Oryzias latipes: one gene and its partner. The protein of the gene in region 1 binds, or shares a complex with, the protein of each later gene. Links are inferred from orthologs where the notes say so. Each region holds a gene or a part of one and is shown on either strand. Other genes may lie near its edges.

Region 1 (7,852 bases):
CAAAACTTGCGACATCTGTGGCAATGTGCTGTGTGATACAACTGAAGATTTCAGAGTGGCCTTTTCTTGTGGCCAGTCTAAGGCACACCTGTCCATTAATCATGCTTTCTAACCAGCATCTTGATATGGCACACCTGCGAGGATGAATGGATTGTCATGGCAAAGGAGAAGTGCTTACTATCACAGATTTAGACAGATTTGTGAACAATATTTCAGAGAACTGGTTATTTTGTGTATGTGGAAAATGTTTCACATCTTTGAGTTCATACCATAAAAAATGGGAGCTATAACAAAAGTGTTGCATTTATATCTTTGGTCAGTGTATTTAGCAGAAGCCTTTTTAACATTTATGTTCATTTTCACAGTGTCACGTGTTTCAGAACTCGTGAGTGTTTGTCCAAAGTTAATCAAAATTGGTCATAAAAAAATATAATTTCTCTTAATATTTCAACATTTATTGATGAAAATAAAACAATAGTTCAGATACAAATCTTAAAAAGTTTATCTTCCGGCTGGACGGAGTCGGAGCTCTGACATTTTTTTTTTCTGCTGCAGAAATTTTAAACACATTGGTCACTACACTGACTTAAATAAATACAAAACCCTGTTTTATTTTAGCTGCTTTGCTGCTCCTTCTGGGTTTAACTCTGAGAGAAATGGGCCAGAATGGTTGAAAACGCCAGAATCCCGTTCAAACAGAACCAACGCAAAATCCAAAGTCCTTGTCTGCCTCCAAGCACCATCAATATGAGACAGAGACACCTGATTGGTTAGAATCTGGACCAATCAGCAGCTGTTTGATGGCAGCTTTGTCATGTCAAACTGAAACTTAACTCAGCAAAATCAAAGATAGAAACAAAGTGAGATGACACACAACGCATGCAAAAACCTTTTGGCGGTGGCAATAGTGGCAGTTTTATCACGCTAAGTCGCGCTCAGAGTAGTCAGCAAAATCAAAGATAGGAAAAGTGCGATATTTGACACAACGCACGCAAAAACATGCATTTTGCAAACGCAAAAAACGTTTTTGAAAGCAAAAAGAATTTTGAAAGCTAAAAAAAAGTTTTTTAAAGCAAATAAAAATTGAAAGCAGAAAAAAATCTCAAAGCAGAATCAAAAATTATTGAAAAGCAAATATTTAATATTTTCACTTGCAACTTAGAACTTAGTTTTGTGTGCAACGTGGTGGCAGAAGTATCACTCCATATGCTTTGGCCTTGGCTTTTCAAAATTTCTCTGCTCCAGAAAGTCAAATGCAGTTTTAAAAAGAAGGCTGCGACATGTTGTCCTTGAGGGCTCAGCCACACTCACCTCTGGTATTCCTACTCCATCCCATTCATTCATTCATTCATTCATTCATTCATTCATTCATTCATTCATTCATCCATTTTCTATACCTATTTATTCCCGTTTGGGGTCATGGCGTTGCTGGGGCCTATCCCAGCTACTGTAAAGTAAAGGCAGGGTACACCCTGCACCAGAGGTGTCAAACTCCAGGGGTTGCTGTGAGTAGTGAGTGAGCAGCGGCTGTTTTTCTGTCTGACTGAGCACCGTGTTAATGAAGCATAACTAGGATGTGCAGCAATCACATCAAGACCTGCACCGATACGATGGACGAGTCGTGACCAGACCCTATGAAGACTCTTAAATATAAGCATATCTTAACCGTATGAGTCCTGCAGTTATGTAGAAAAGAACAATTTCAGACGAAGAACATAAAAGCATTTTTGCTGCATCTTCATCTGTCTGATCTGGTTTTGGATGTTGGCAGCTTGTTACATTAAATAGGATTCCATACCTGACCAAGAAGAATAAAGGAAAAAACAAGAGGACAGCATCCTTGAACACTTGTGTACTGATGTGTTGTTTCGGACAGCAAAGGAAATGTTTTTTCAAGGTGAAGAAAAGGATCTCATCCTGGCTGCTATTTAAATCCCAGAAGGACGATACTGTCAATTTAATGAGCTTCACATTGTGAAAAGTCAGAGTTTTTCAAGTTCACTGCAGCTATGATTTGTGCAACTTCTAAACAATTGACAAAATAATTATACTTATGGTGTAGATATTGTGATATGAAGAAATGGCGACTCTTTAAAGACCTCTGTGATGTGAACGACGCACAAGTGGAATCATGTCCACTTTGTTGCCTTAATGTAATAAAAAAAACACAGACAGTATTGTTAAAACATCAATCATGTTAACATCACTCAATACTTTTCTTATAAGGTTTAGCTGAGCTGTAAGTATTGTCTGTCGTTTCAAAGAAAAACAATCTTTGGAACTTAAGCATTTTTGGAGGTACTGTTTTTTAAGGAAACACTGCCACAGGACACTTACTGCTTTCATATAACCGATCATTTAAGTCCTGATTTATTTTTCTGTTAGTACAGAGCAAAACATTTCACAGACACATCTGTTAGATGTCTTAATTGTGGCTATTTCAATGGATATGCATCATATTGACATCAATGCCTAGAGGCCTATCAGACCTTTTAGCAGACGACTTTCACACAGCTAATCATGTCACGGTCCCAAAATATAAACCAGCTGCCATTTTTCTTGATAAATAGGGTAATTATATAACATATAAAATAATACAAAAGGTGCATTAATGGTGGTTTTGTGTTCTTTAGAGGACGTCTTTCAAACTGTCAAGAATGCACCAGAGGACAGTATTCGTAAAGATGCATACAACAAGATTTTCAGTAAAAAAAGAACAATCTGAATGTGTCTAAAAATGGGATTACTTTGGTGAAAGTGACTGTTCAGACTATACTTGTTCAAGCATATATACTGTGGTTAGCAGAGGTTACATGGGTAGAAGCTCAGCCTGGTTTCTAGTTTGATTCCAAAGGACGTGCAAGCATTCAAAGCTACTGGTCAGTCATCACACATTGAGCTGGGGCCCTATGATTTCACAGGCGTTTGACACTGGTGACCCAATTTCAAAAGGTAACCCCTGCACCCACAACCCATCTATGACGTATCAGCCAGGCTTCCCATCTGATCCAGATGCTTTCTGGACAAGAGAGGCCCTTCATCAGTCCCAGGACGACCAAAGGTGGTTTAACATGTCACAGCTTGAAGGTTTCTTCATCTTCATCTCTGCCATTAGTCACCTTCCTCGCTGCATTCTGCACAGTGTCCTGGAAGATGTCAAATGACCAATTTTCCGACCTCGCTTGAGATATAAAGATGTTTTTAAAAGAGATATGAAGGACTTCCAGATAGATCCTGCTACTTGGACTGCTACTGAAGCGACAGAGGGAGATGGGACACCACCTTAAAGAGAGGTATCAAAGTTGTTGTATCAGACAGATTCTAGAAATTCTACTATGGAAAAACGTTTAATTTATTTTGGAAAACCCTGAGTCTGGGGGATCTGCTTCATAGGTTGGGAAGACTTAGTCTAAAGTAGGTATGGATGACCAACGCAAAGGAGAAATGCTTTTATAAACAATACACTGTTTTTGTTTTTTAACAATGGAAATGTACAAGGAAGGAAGCCAACATTCTCTACACCATTCCGCCACCTGCTGGATGCGGGCATTCATTACAGGACACTTGTTCAAGCAGCTGCAGGGACTAACTGCGTCCACTAGGAGGCGCGCAACACCGACAGTTGTCTGCAGGCAAAGATGGCGGTGCGGAAGAAAGACGGCGGCCCGAATGTTAAATATTTCGAAGCATCTGACACCGTTTCTCAGTTTGATAATGTCCGCGTCTGGTTGGGAAAGAATTACAAAAAGGTACTGTGGGCTTGTTTTTGTGCGCATGCTCACAGAGTTCTCCTTTTCACCCTCAAATGTGGGCACTTACCCAGTGGGCAGAGGCAGTGACAAAGAGAGGAGGGAGGGTGCTGCTGCTGCTGCTGCTGCCGCTCAGCGTCCAGCTGTTTGGGATACAAAAGGATGCTGAGCAAACAGCTGCAGCACAAGCGCGCGCTTCAGGCGTTCTGCGGATACACGTGACTGCAGATAAACTGCCACAAAGGCAGCGCGCGACTCTTACTCGGTGGACGGATTTGTTTTCTATAAAGAAAATACATGACTTTAGCCTGCTAGCTGGCTAGTTAGCTGCTCGGCTAACGGTGAAGCAGCGCAGATCCAGATGTTGGCTCAGAGGCACGTCTGTCTTGAATAACAGCTGGCGGGCCTCAACTAGGAGCTCTGACTTGACGAAGACCTCTCAAGTACTAATCATGAAGTAGACTGTTATTATTATTATTATTTTTACAAATATTTGAATGATTGATGTTTTTAATTAGAGCTCTTTTTCATGGGTGAAAATAAAAGCACTGACATTTCCAGAGTTTACGTGAATGCGGCATATCAGCCATAGAACTATGTCTACCAGAAATGCTGTGTTTTAGTGTTTGGTGTATTCCTAACTTTGCGTTTTGTGTCCAGTACATCCAGGCTGAGCCTCCCACCAACAAGTCTCTGTCCAGCCTGGTGGTCCAGCTGCTGCAGTTCCAAGAGGAGGTGTTTGGCAGACATGTCAGCAACCCCCCACTCACCAAGCTGCCGGTATTTGCTTCTCAATACTCATCATCTTCCTCAATGTAATGATGCTTCACTTTTTGTCCTCTGTAACCTATTATTTGAAGCATTTTCCCTCTTTCTGCAGATGAAATGTTTTCTGGACTTTAAGTCTGGGGGGGCTCTGTGTCACATCCTGGCTGCAGCCTACAAGTTCAAAAGTGATCAAGGATGGTAGGGGCTTCTTTCTAGCGGATGTTTTGAGGATTAGACCTGTTAATCCAGTGAAGAATCAAAGGTCTCAACTGGATTTTGGCCGGGTTTGAGTTTCGTGTGTAACTCCAGTCTAATTTCCTGGTAGGCGCAGGTTTGACTTCCAGAATCCATCGAGGATGGACCGAAACGTTGAGATGTTTATGACGATTGAAAAATCTCTGGTGCAGGTGAGTTTGTTTCAGCAATCGTTCTTCATGAATAGTTACCTTCTACACAACTTGCAAAAGTGTTTATTTTCTAATATCTTCAAATCTCTAAATTATTATTATTATTATTAAAAACTGTCAATTATTTACCTTTTACAATTAGGTTTAATTTAGAATTAAGGATTTGATTCAGTTTGAATGAAACTATTTATGTGTATTTATATTCAGAAAAACGATCCACGTTTATTGTTTTTTATGCAAGTCTGAATTAATGATAAAAAAAACATTGAGAGATTTCATGTTTTTGTTTGGTGGCTTCAGAATTTTTGAATATTTGCAGAACCAGTTTGTTTATTCTTTAAAGTTCCACTCCAATGAAAATTGTGTTGTAGTTGTTTTTTTACATGTTCTTGTGGCATTTTTCTGATGATGGAGCACATAGATAAAGAAAATTGAGATTAAAATTGAATATTTCTTTACTCCAATATTTGTAAAATACAAAAAAAAAAAAAGCAGTTCGAAAAAGATCTTGTTTGTGACGTAGAAAATATGCTGGCTGGGTCAAAATCTTCCTGCTTTGCTCCATTCTGATGCATCCACCTGCAGACAAATAGACCCATGAACGTCTTTGTTCTCCTCGCCTGAGCTGGAATCTGGATCAAAACTGGATGGCTGGATAGCTCTGATGTTGCTCACCATTTTTGTTGCACTGATAATGTTAGGTTTGGCTATAAGGGGCTGAAAGCTAGCAGGAGAGAGTGTAAACAAAGGGATGATGGGAAGTAGAGGCAGGCTTACTCCCTACAACTCAGATGTAAATTTTTAATGAACTCCTGCCGCTCTGCTGAAACTATGTCCTAAAAAAATGACACTTGTTTTTAGATTTTGGCCAAAAGGTGCATCATCATAATTAGAAGACCGCTGGGAACGCTTTGAAAATACATCAGAAGATGATCGGAGCAGGATTTTAATGACAAAATCTTTGTGATGTGACTTTCGTTGTCCAACCCAAGGACTTCAGGGCTCGTGCAGTGTCTTTATTTGCAGAAGCAGAGATGTTATGCTGAGAGGAAAACAGCATTTACATTGTAATGGTCATGTGTTTTTTAAATGTACTCCTTCCAGAACCACTGTCTGTCACGACCAGTCATCTACCTGAGCTCTGACATCGATCCAAAGCTGCTGGGGAAACTGAAAGACATCATCAAAAGGCATCAGGTGTGTTTGTCATGTGAATGTTATGCCATACACCTCAAGTAGGTGTTGCTTCATTTTTAGGGCTCCTATGGGTTTAAACCTGTGAATACATATGATTTACACTCTTTTCCTGATTTGCAGGGCTCAGTGGCGGAGGACAAATCAAACAGCTCCCATATTGTGGTTCCCATCCCTGCCAGTCTAGAAGAAGGTGAGGACTTGGAACTGGACTGCTGGATGGATGTTTCTTCTTCAACATGCTATTCTAACTCCAACCCCTTTTTTATCTTTCAGAGGAATGGGTGCGTCCTGTGATGAAGAGAGATAAACAAGTTCTCCTCCACTGGGGATATTTTCCAGACAGGTTGGGTTTTTTGTTGATGCTCGTGAGCCGGTACCTCCATGAAATGCACCTGAAAACTCCTTCTGTTACATTTGAAGTTAATCTGAGTCCATGACTGGAGCCGTTACCTGCATAAACACTAAAGTATCACGTCTAACTAAGCTCTGCACTGATCTCATTTGGTAATAATTGCAGTGTGTCTTAAACAGAAAGTGATTATCACATTGTGTATCTTACTTAACATTTCTGGACAACAAAGGAAACAGTCTACCTGTGTTTTTCTCCAAACGGCGTGATTGGATTGGAATTTTCTTCCTCCCACTGTGCAGTTATGACACCTGGATTCCAGCCAGTGAAATCGAGGCTGCAGTGGAGGATCCTCCAACTCCAGAGAAGCCCAGGAAGGTATTTTTTTTTATCTTTCTTTGAGTTCTTCATCTCATTTTTTAACATGTTAATAAATAATCTTGATTTGTGCTAAAAGGTGAAGTGTTTTTAGAAATGTAATCATCTTAAAACGATCATGGTGTTCACGTTACATCAGCATGCAGGCAGAGAGGTGTTCAGTCAGAAACCAGCTGTGCCAGCTCTCCTACTTCAGCAGCTGAGTTTGGTCAGTAATGTTCATCATAGCTTCACTTCAACTGTGAGAGACAGAATGGAAAAAAAACCTAAAAGAATCCAAGAAACCACATGATTTGATCTATAGTGAAATATTAGGTAAATTCCCCTGTAAAATACATATTTATCTCATACAAGCAAACAGCAATTCTGTTCTTCGCAGACTTGTTACTTCCTCTTTAAGAAGCTCTTCTGTCCTACGCTGGCTACCTGTATTAAGGGCTCCTGTTTGAACTGGTTATCTGTAGAAAAGACATTTGTCCACAACCTCCAAACTCTACTATGGCCAAGACCAAACGGCTGTTAAAGGACACAAGAAACTAAATTGTAGATCTCCACCAGGCTGGGACAGCTCAGTGTGAAGACATCAACTGTAGGAGCAATAATTAGAAGATGGAAGACATGTACTGAGAATCTCCCTCCATCTGGGGCTCCATGTAAGATCCCACCCCATAGGATCAAATCATCACAAGAATTGTGAGCAGAAATCCCAGAACCACTTGGGGGACTTAATAAAAGATCTGCAGAGAGCTGGGACCAAAGTAACAAAGGCTACCATCAGTAACACACGCCGCCGCCAGGGACTCAAACCCTGCAGGGCCAGACGTGTCCCCCTGCTAAAGCTGGTACATGTGCAGGCCCGTCTAAAGTTTGCTAGAGCATAGGGACAAGTACAAGTGATCCGTGTAAAGCAATAAGGAATGGATCTAGACACACGGGCCACTTCAATAGCAACAGCTGTTCAACAGCTTGTTAACGCAACTTTCTAATCAGCCAATCACATGGCA
Region 2 (7,596 bases), on another chromosome or scaffold:
GTCATTCTACATTGAAGTGAATGGGGTCTGACTGGTTTGTTTTACGTGTCAGCTAGTGCTTTCTTGGTGAACTGATCTGGCTCATTTTTTTACTCTGACCTCATCTGAGAATTGTTCAAAACAAATGCACGATATTTAATACTGCTGATAAGAAGGATTCGCTTCACTTGCAGGTGAACCCTGGTGTGGCAATAGTGTTAATGAAAACAAACTACTCGGCAGTAAAAGTATGTGACATGAATAAAAAAAAATCACAAACTGGAAGAAGATCAGATCATGAAAGAATTGTAAGAATGTCCCATTGTACGATGTGTTGTGGTAAAGTGGTGAAGTCACTTATCAATCCATGATGGTCAGAGAACTAGCAGGACTGGTTTTCTTTTCTTTGTTTTTTTTTATTTCCTTCATCCTGGTACTGCCCACTTCTGGCCTTCAAACAAAGTCAAGTATTTTTTTTATGCAAAAGCAGATCAAATTTAGAAGGTAACATCATCTGCCCATTTGAATCATGTCTGTAGAACTATCTTAGTATGAACTTGCCATAATGCTTCATAAGAAGTGATTGCAAATCACCTACCACACAGCTGGATGAGCTGGAACTCTGACACATACATTCATTCACCTGCAATCACGTAAGGAGCCTACTACGAAGGGACACTCCTGTGAGGCAGGATTACATCCTTTCCCAGCCAACCCCTGTCTGTGTTTTTCCAGTTTCAGCAGTCAGTCCTTCCAGTGTGCTCTTAACTTTACCAGAACCCGCCCTCCCAGAATACTGACAAATAGAAATAAAAATGTGTTTTAGATGGACGCACCTTGAATGGGTTACAGATTTCATTACAGGCCTGTAAATAAGTAAATGCAGTGAGTTGGCCTTTGATCGACAAGAACGATTCATTCCATATGAGATTGTTTTTTATGAGAGATTTAAAACTCTTACATAAAGAATTATTTACATACAACTCTCGAGAGAGAACTGTTTCACCCCACAAGCAGAAGCTTTTATTTCAGCGGGTTAATAAAACAAAACAAAAATGGACATTTAAAAGTTAGGTCTGCTGATCAGAAATGCAAGAATCTGCTAATTCAGAAGGAAATGAAGCATGTTTTGTTTGAAACTTGATTAAAAAGCTGAAACGTTTCCATGTATAAAGTGGAAATGTGTTGATGAAAATAAAGACCATTTAAAACTTAAAGCCACGAATGAATTGAAGGAAGAGGAGATGGCATTTAGCATAAAAGAATTGGTGTAACTGAGAGCGAGGAAGAGGAAGTGGTACAAGAGGAAGAAAAGTAGTTGCTGCTTGTGTCTCGCAGACAGTGACATGTTTAAATGGCCTCTGGGTTATTTAACTTGTATGGGCAGCTATGTTTCTGGAGCAAAAAAAGTTTAAATAAACTGTGAAACTAATGAATGGAAGACAAGTAAGGTAAAAGCAAAGAACCCTAAGCCTATAAAACCCAAAGTCAGGAAAGTTACACCCTTTGCAGTAAACCACAGAGAGGAAATAAGAGCATGTGTGACTTTATTTGTCTCTCTCTGAGTTTAATCGATTAAGGTGAATGTATAGTAGCGTATGGGTTGGGTCTGACAGTGGTTATTTTCACTCAATAGGTCATTTATGACTAAAAGTAGATGCAAGTCAGCCTTAGTGTCCTCTTATGTGGACCTTTTTTCTTCATTTGTAGGGGAAAGAGGAAGTAGCAAGAGCTCTGAGAAGTTAACAAGAATCCAGACTAATGCCATACATGGTCAATTGGTATTAGTGAGATTGAGTTTTTACCATTGCTTAGTGGGAAAAGTGGTTATTGTCCATCCTCTGACAGGGCACTTTTACAGTCCATAGTGTCTTTTGTGAGTCATGTGTTTGGCTTGGAGGGTCTCTGACTCCATCTGAGGTGGCATTCTGCTTTCCAGAGTGTGCAGCAACATCCACATTGTAATTGTCCTCAAATTGCATCAAACATATCTTGCATTTCCAGACTGAAATCTTGAGAGACAGGTTTTAAGAGGAAAAGTATTCACAGGGAGGAGCAGCCTGTGCTCTGCTGTTTGAATGATCAGATAAGCAGGGGGACTTGCTCGAAAGCTTTATACAGGTTCATATTTTATATATATTTGAAACTTTGTAAACTCTATATGTATTAATATTTGTTCAAGAAACATTATATCCTTAGATTAGGCCTCACATCAATCCCTATCCTTTTATTTTCCCCCAGCCCGTTACTGTTATCGCCTCCCTCTTTCTACGCTCAGTGCACCACAGCGTGCACCCGACGTGCCCCAGTGAGTGACGCTGGACCAATCACATGCCGCGATTCCGAAAGTTTACCTTTTATGGAAAGAGCCGGGCAACGGACGGACTATAAATACCACGTGCCCACGGCTAGCAAATTCACTCTGAGCGCCGTCACACACAGCTTGTGCGGGATATCATTCGCCTGAAACCGATTCCCTTGAAACGAAAAGCCCCCCACCCAAAGGTAAGATAGAGACGATATTTGGTTTAATTCAAATGTTTTGGAAACCTTACGATTGTTTAATTGTGCAGTTTAATTCTTAATTGGAGGTGACCATTAGCAGAATTTTGTGGCCACTAAATTTATTTTTAGGCCTGAAATGGTTAAACTTTTAATTATCTTTTTAAAATTGACAATTTTGTTTGTTTTGGCATCAATCAAGTTGTACCAAAATTAGCCACTTAAACGCACAGGTGCCAATTGATTGTAACCGGCAAATGGCTTTTCAGTTTGGTTTTAATTGTATATTTTATATAAGCAACTAAATAAAAATTACTATTCGTATCTTACATGGTGGGGGGAATTTTTCGAGTCCTTCTACGGACGTTACCCGTCCGAGTTGAGGGTGTCTGGATCCTGGCGGGTCCCTTTGTGCGCCGTTACGGGGTGTGACCTACTTTAGCATATTAGCCTAGCTTCATGCTAACACGCCCTTCTAGACTTGACTCTGATTCCTCACATGTAGGGGGGTGGGACTGTTATACATTTGTTTGTATAAAATGTAATAACCCTTAAAGCATTTTAAAAGTATTCGATTAAATTGAGCATGTAACTGTAGTTTGACGGCGAAGAAAAGGGCAAATGACAAATCATTCATTCAAGAAAAGGCGTGGCTTTCAGGAAATGATTAATCAGTCATGGGCTCGCACACGTTTTAATTTCCTTCTAAAGCTTGACGGGTCGTGGTGCTTTATGCCAGCAACGACTTCGCACAAATTATGACGCAGTGATTAAGAAATTTTTCAGTCTTGTGCAACAATGGGAGGGAACGCTGACAAAGTAGAGCTGTAATGAACCAGTGGGAGTAGGCTTTCGTCGCCGGGTCCGATAGTCTAAAGTCCCTCCCCTCTTGCTGTACTTTGGCCGCGTGCCTTGCCGGTAGCCGCAAAGCTGCTCAAAACCGAACTATGTCCTTATATGGTAACAAGAGAATGCAGCACCACTTCCTTTTGTCTGGGCTCGGAATGTAGCGCTCTACCTCCACCAAGCGGACACTTTGGGGAACTGCCGCTCCCTGACAGGAAATGGGACATCTGACTGCAAAGCAGATGCAGATGGGCGTGTCTTTGGTGTTAACGCCTTATTTGTTTGTTTTCCAGTTTAGCCATGGATGATGACATTGCCGCACTGGTTGTTGACAACGGATCTGGCATGTGCAAAGCCGGATTCGCTGGAGACGATGCCCCTCGTGCTGTCTTTCCCTCCATCGTTGGTCGCCCCAGGCACCAGGTTAGTTCCTAACTGTTTACCTTTATAATTTTTTACTATTTAATTTTAAAAGTTTCCAGATTTACTAAATGTAAATTTAAACTTTTTTTCAGGGTGTCATGGTGGGTATGGGCCAGAAAGACAGCTACGTAGGTGATGAAGCCCAGAGCAAGAGGGGTATCCTGACCCTGAAGTATCCCATTGAGCACGGTATTGTTACCAACTGGGATGACATGGAGAAGATCTGGCACCACACCTTCTACAATGAGCTGAGAATTGCCCCTGAGGAGCACCCTGTCCTGCTCACTGAAGCCCCCCTGAACCCCAAAGCCAACAGGGAGAAGATGACCCAGGTACCCGTTTACCTCACAGTGGAGCACATGTATACTCTTTTCACCTTGGTTTCCTTCTGTTCATACTTCCTCCATCCTCCTCTTCTAGGATTTCTTCCTATAAGATGAGCTTTCATCAAAAGGTCTATTGACAGTTTGCCTTGTATCTGCACTTGTGTTTTGAGGCTTAGAGTAACAGATCAGCACCTAAAAATGACATGCACAAGTGTGAAGGAATGTTTACCATGTACTAACTATAGATCGAGCCCCACTTTAATGCATGTAGCGAGTGGAGTGGTCGCATTGCTGCTTTGTAACATGCTAACATTGTGCTTTTTGTCTCTGCAGATCATGTTTGAGACCTTCAACAGCCCTGCCATGTACGTTGCCATCCAGGCTGTGCTGTCCCTGTATGCCTCTGGTCGTACCACTGGTATCGTCATGGACTCTGGTGATGGTGTGACCCACACAGTGCCCATCTACGAGGGCTACGCTCTGCCCCACGCCATCCTGCGTCTGGACTTGGCCGGCCGCGACCTTACAGACTACCTCATGAAGATCCTGACGGAGCGTGGCTACTCCTTCACCACCACAGCCGAGAGGGAAATTGTCCGTGACATCAAGGAGAAGCTGTGCTACGTCGCCCTGGACTTCGAGCAGGAGATGGGCACCGCTGCCTCCTCTTCCTCCCTGGAGAAGAGCTATGAGCTGCCTGACGGACAGGTCATCACCATTGGCAATGAGAGGTTCCGTTGCCCAGAGGCCCTCTTCCAGCCTTCCTTCCTTGGTAGGTACCTCAACCAAAGACTTGTGTACAGACCCCAGAGTGCCCCATGCTAATATTTAATCTCCTTCCAGGTATGGAGTCCTGCGGTATCCATGAGACCACCTACAACAGCATCATGAAGTGTGATGTTGATATCCGTAAGGATCTGTACGCCAACACTGTGCTGTCTGGAGGTACCACCATGTACCCTGGAATCGCAGACAGAATGCAGAAGGAGATCACAGCCCTGGCCCCATCCACCATGAAGATCAAGGTGAGCTTTCTGAAGAGTCTCCCGTCTGGATTGTTCCTTTGGGGAAAAGGGGCTCATTCTCAACTCTCCTCCTCTCCCTACAGATCATTGCCCCACCAGAGCGTAAATACTCTGTCTGGATTGGAGGCTCCATCCTGGCCTCTCTGTCCACCTTCCAGCAGATGTGGATCAGCAAGCAGGAGTACGATGAGTCTGGCCCCTCCATCGTCCACCGCAAATGCTTCTAAACAGACTTTCTCCTCCCCAGCCAAACACCCAACAACTTCAGCTCTGTTCAAAACCACACCACACATTTCTCGCTCACTCAGGCGCAGGGCCTAGACGACCAACTCATTGGCATGGCTTCAGTTATTTTTGGCGCTTGACTCAGGATTTAAAAAAAAAACTGGAACAATGAAGGAGATAATGTTTTTGCTTTTTGGCTAGGTTTAAACACCCCAGGCATCTGCAGTTGCATCTGGGGCTTAAATGTACATTTTGTTCTTTAAGTCATTCCAAATGTTTGTTGACTGCATCGTTCAAACATGATTCCAAATGTAAACTGCATTGTTCAGACACGTATTTGCCTCTGTGAAGGCTGCCCAGTGGTTGAGCATACTTAAACATGGTTGTAGTATTGCTTGTATGTAAATTTTGTCTGGGGTTTTTTGTACTTTCAGCCTTAAATCTTGGTCCTGTTCAAATTTTTTTCTTTTGTTATGCAAAACCCAACCATGACCTTCTTCCCCCTGTTGGAGGTTCATCTCTGGGGAGGTGCGGTAAGGGGTCTTCATGACGGGCGTAACATGGGGTGCCAGACCAGTGGGGCCAAACCTGTACACTGACTAAACAATCCCAATAAAGTGCACATGTGTTCCGACTTGATGTCTGCATCTGTTTGGTCTCTTTATTTTTAAGCAGTAACACACTGAGTGACTGCATCTGAAATCTGATCTTTACCAACTAGTGCAATTGGCAGTTTAAACAAGGATTTACATCCACAATAAGTACCTATTAAAGCTTTTCCATTGTTTCTTTAAAGCTTAAACCTTAGGTCATACAAACTACAGGAGTACAAAATGAAAACTGCATTTACCTGAGGATTTATTGTGAATCCAGGGGTAATGAAGTGGCAGTTCAACTAAAACTAAAGCTGTACAGTTTTAACTATTGAAGTTAAACAGGAGGAAAGTGACTAAATACCCAATCGCTTTACAAAGAAACTTGTGGGTATAAAGCGGCAACCCAGCTCGGTCAAAAGCTTGAACAAACCCCAAACTTAATATTTGTGGCACAATTGCTCAGCATGTTGCTGTGATGTGGCACTCCTAGCTCCCCTTATAAAACTGCTTCGCAAGAGGCTGACCTGCGTTCAGGTGGCATTAAAAGTGGACTACCCTGCCCTGATCCATCGCCCTGCACTGTTTTCTTGCCTAATGTGATCAGCTGCAGGAAATGCAAGTTGAGCTGGAGGATCAATTGGGTGGTGCTGCATTAAAAAAACATTAAAATGAGCTGTTGGATACACATGTTGCTGCAGAATCTTGAATCTGGAAGACCTGAATGCATAGAGCAAAACCTCCTGCAGTAGTTGCAAATACTCATGGATGTATGAATGCATGGCCAGAGACTGAACTGTTTTCACTTCATTTCCCCCTTCTTCAGATGCACATAAAAACCGTTATTCTGCTGAGACAATTTCCTGCTATTTACTGCCATGCCAGCAAAAAAATTCCCAGTGCTTGTGAGTCCCCAAATTCCATGTATTCTCCGAGTTATGTTTCCTTCACTAAGGCTGTTGGAGAATGATTTGGTTATTTATTTTATGTCCTAAACATGTTTGAGTCTCCCACTTCATTTACTCACGTGGACCGTGCTCTCATGCGAGCAGTTCTCCGTTCTCTCCAGCAGATGGGGCTGCTGTGCCACACGACTCTGTCTCGTGTTGAGTGGGTGAAAGGCAAATAGAGGACTACCACAGCTGACAGAAAGAGGCCAGCAGAGAGTCATGGATCATTTTACACCCCGCCTCCTGCAGGCTGAGGCTGGTGCATCACCGCTGCACCACACCTGAATGTCGGGTTTCTTTTTGCAGACCTGACAGCATATGTTCAGCGATAGTTCACTCTGAATGCATTAAAACGGGTTCTTCTTATCATCTGGGGAGGATAATAAAGAATGCTGCATGTGTGTGTTGCATTAATGTGTTTGATACTAATCAACATAATTTTAGCCTAGGGCTTGTGATGAACAAAGGACAACAAAAATAAAGATGCTTTTTCTGCTGCGAATGTAAAAAACATGTTAATCCAAACCAGAACTTGCATAAATGTGAGCTGTTTTTATTTGTGCATGCAAAATGAACCGTGAAACTCAATTAAGAAAAATACTGCAGTTTTAAGAAGTCGGTATCTTTGCAAACAGTTGGTGCTTTGGGAAAGAGTGACCCTCTGCAGCTCTCTGGGCTTTCACGCTCCTTGAATACCTGACATGCAGCTGCATGCCTGTCAGGCCGC

What was found.
Region 2: smarcc2 (region 1) and actb share a complex: the UniProt entries of both Homo sapiens proteins name them as parts of the BAF complex. The link is inferred for Oryzias latipes from reciprocal best matches to the Homo sapiens genes SMARCC2 and ACTB.

The regions. Positions count from the first base shown.
Region 1 is NC_019863.2:4,302,881-4,310,732, reverse strand, and holds the start of smarcc2 (SWI/SNF complex subunit SMARCC2), read left to right. Parts: upstream 1-3,603; 5' UTR 3,604-3,638; coding exon 3,639-3,749; intron 3,750-4,409; coding exon 4,410-4,529; intron 4,530-4,629; coding exon 4,630-4,715; intron 4,716-4,842; coding exon 4,843-4,924; intron 4,925-6,028; coding exon 6,029-6,121; intron 6,122-6,241; coding exon 6,242-6,311; intron 6,312-6,394; coding exon 6,395-6,464; intron 6,465-6,772; coding exon 6,773-6,848; intron 6,849-7,852. UniProt on the Homo sapiens protein: Involved in transcriptional activation and repression of select genes by chromatin remodeling (alteration of DNA-nucleosome topology).
Region 2 is NC_019866.2:19,165,661-19,173,256, forward strand, and holds actb (actin, cytoplasmic 1), read left to right. Parts: upstream 1-2,415; 5' UTR 2,416-2,484; intron 2,485-3,620; 5' UTR 3,621-3,627; coding exon 3,628-3,750; intron 3,751-3,842; coding exon 3,843-4,082; intron 4,083-4,409; coding exon 4,410-4,848; intron 4,849-4,919; coding exon 4,920-5,101; intron 5,102-5,184; coding exon 5,185-5,328; 3' UTR 5,329-5,964; downstream 5,965-7,596. UniProt on the Homo sapiens protein: Actin is a highly conserved protein that polymerizes to produce filaments that form cross-linked networks in the cytoplasm of cells.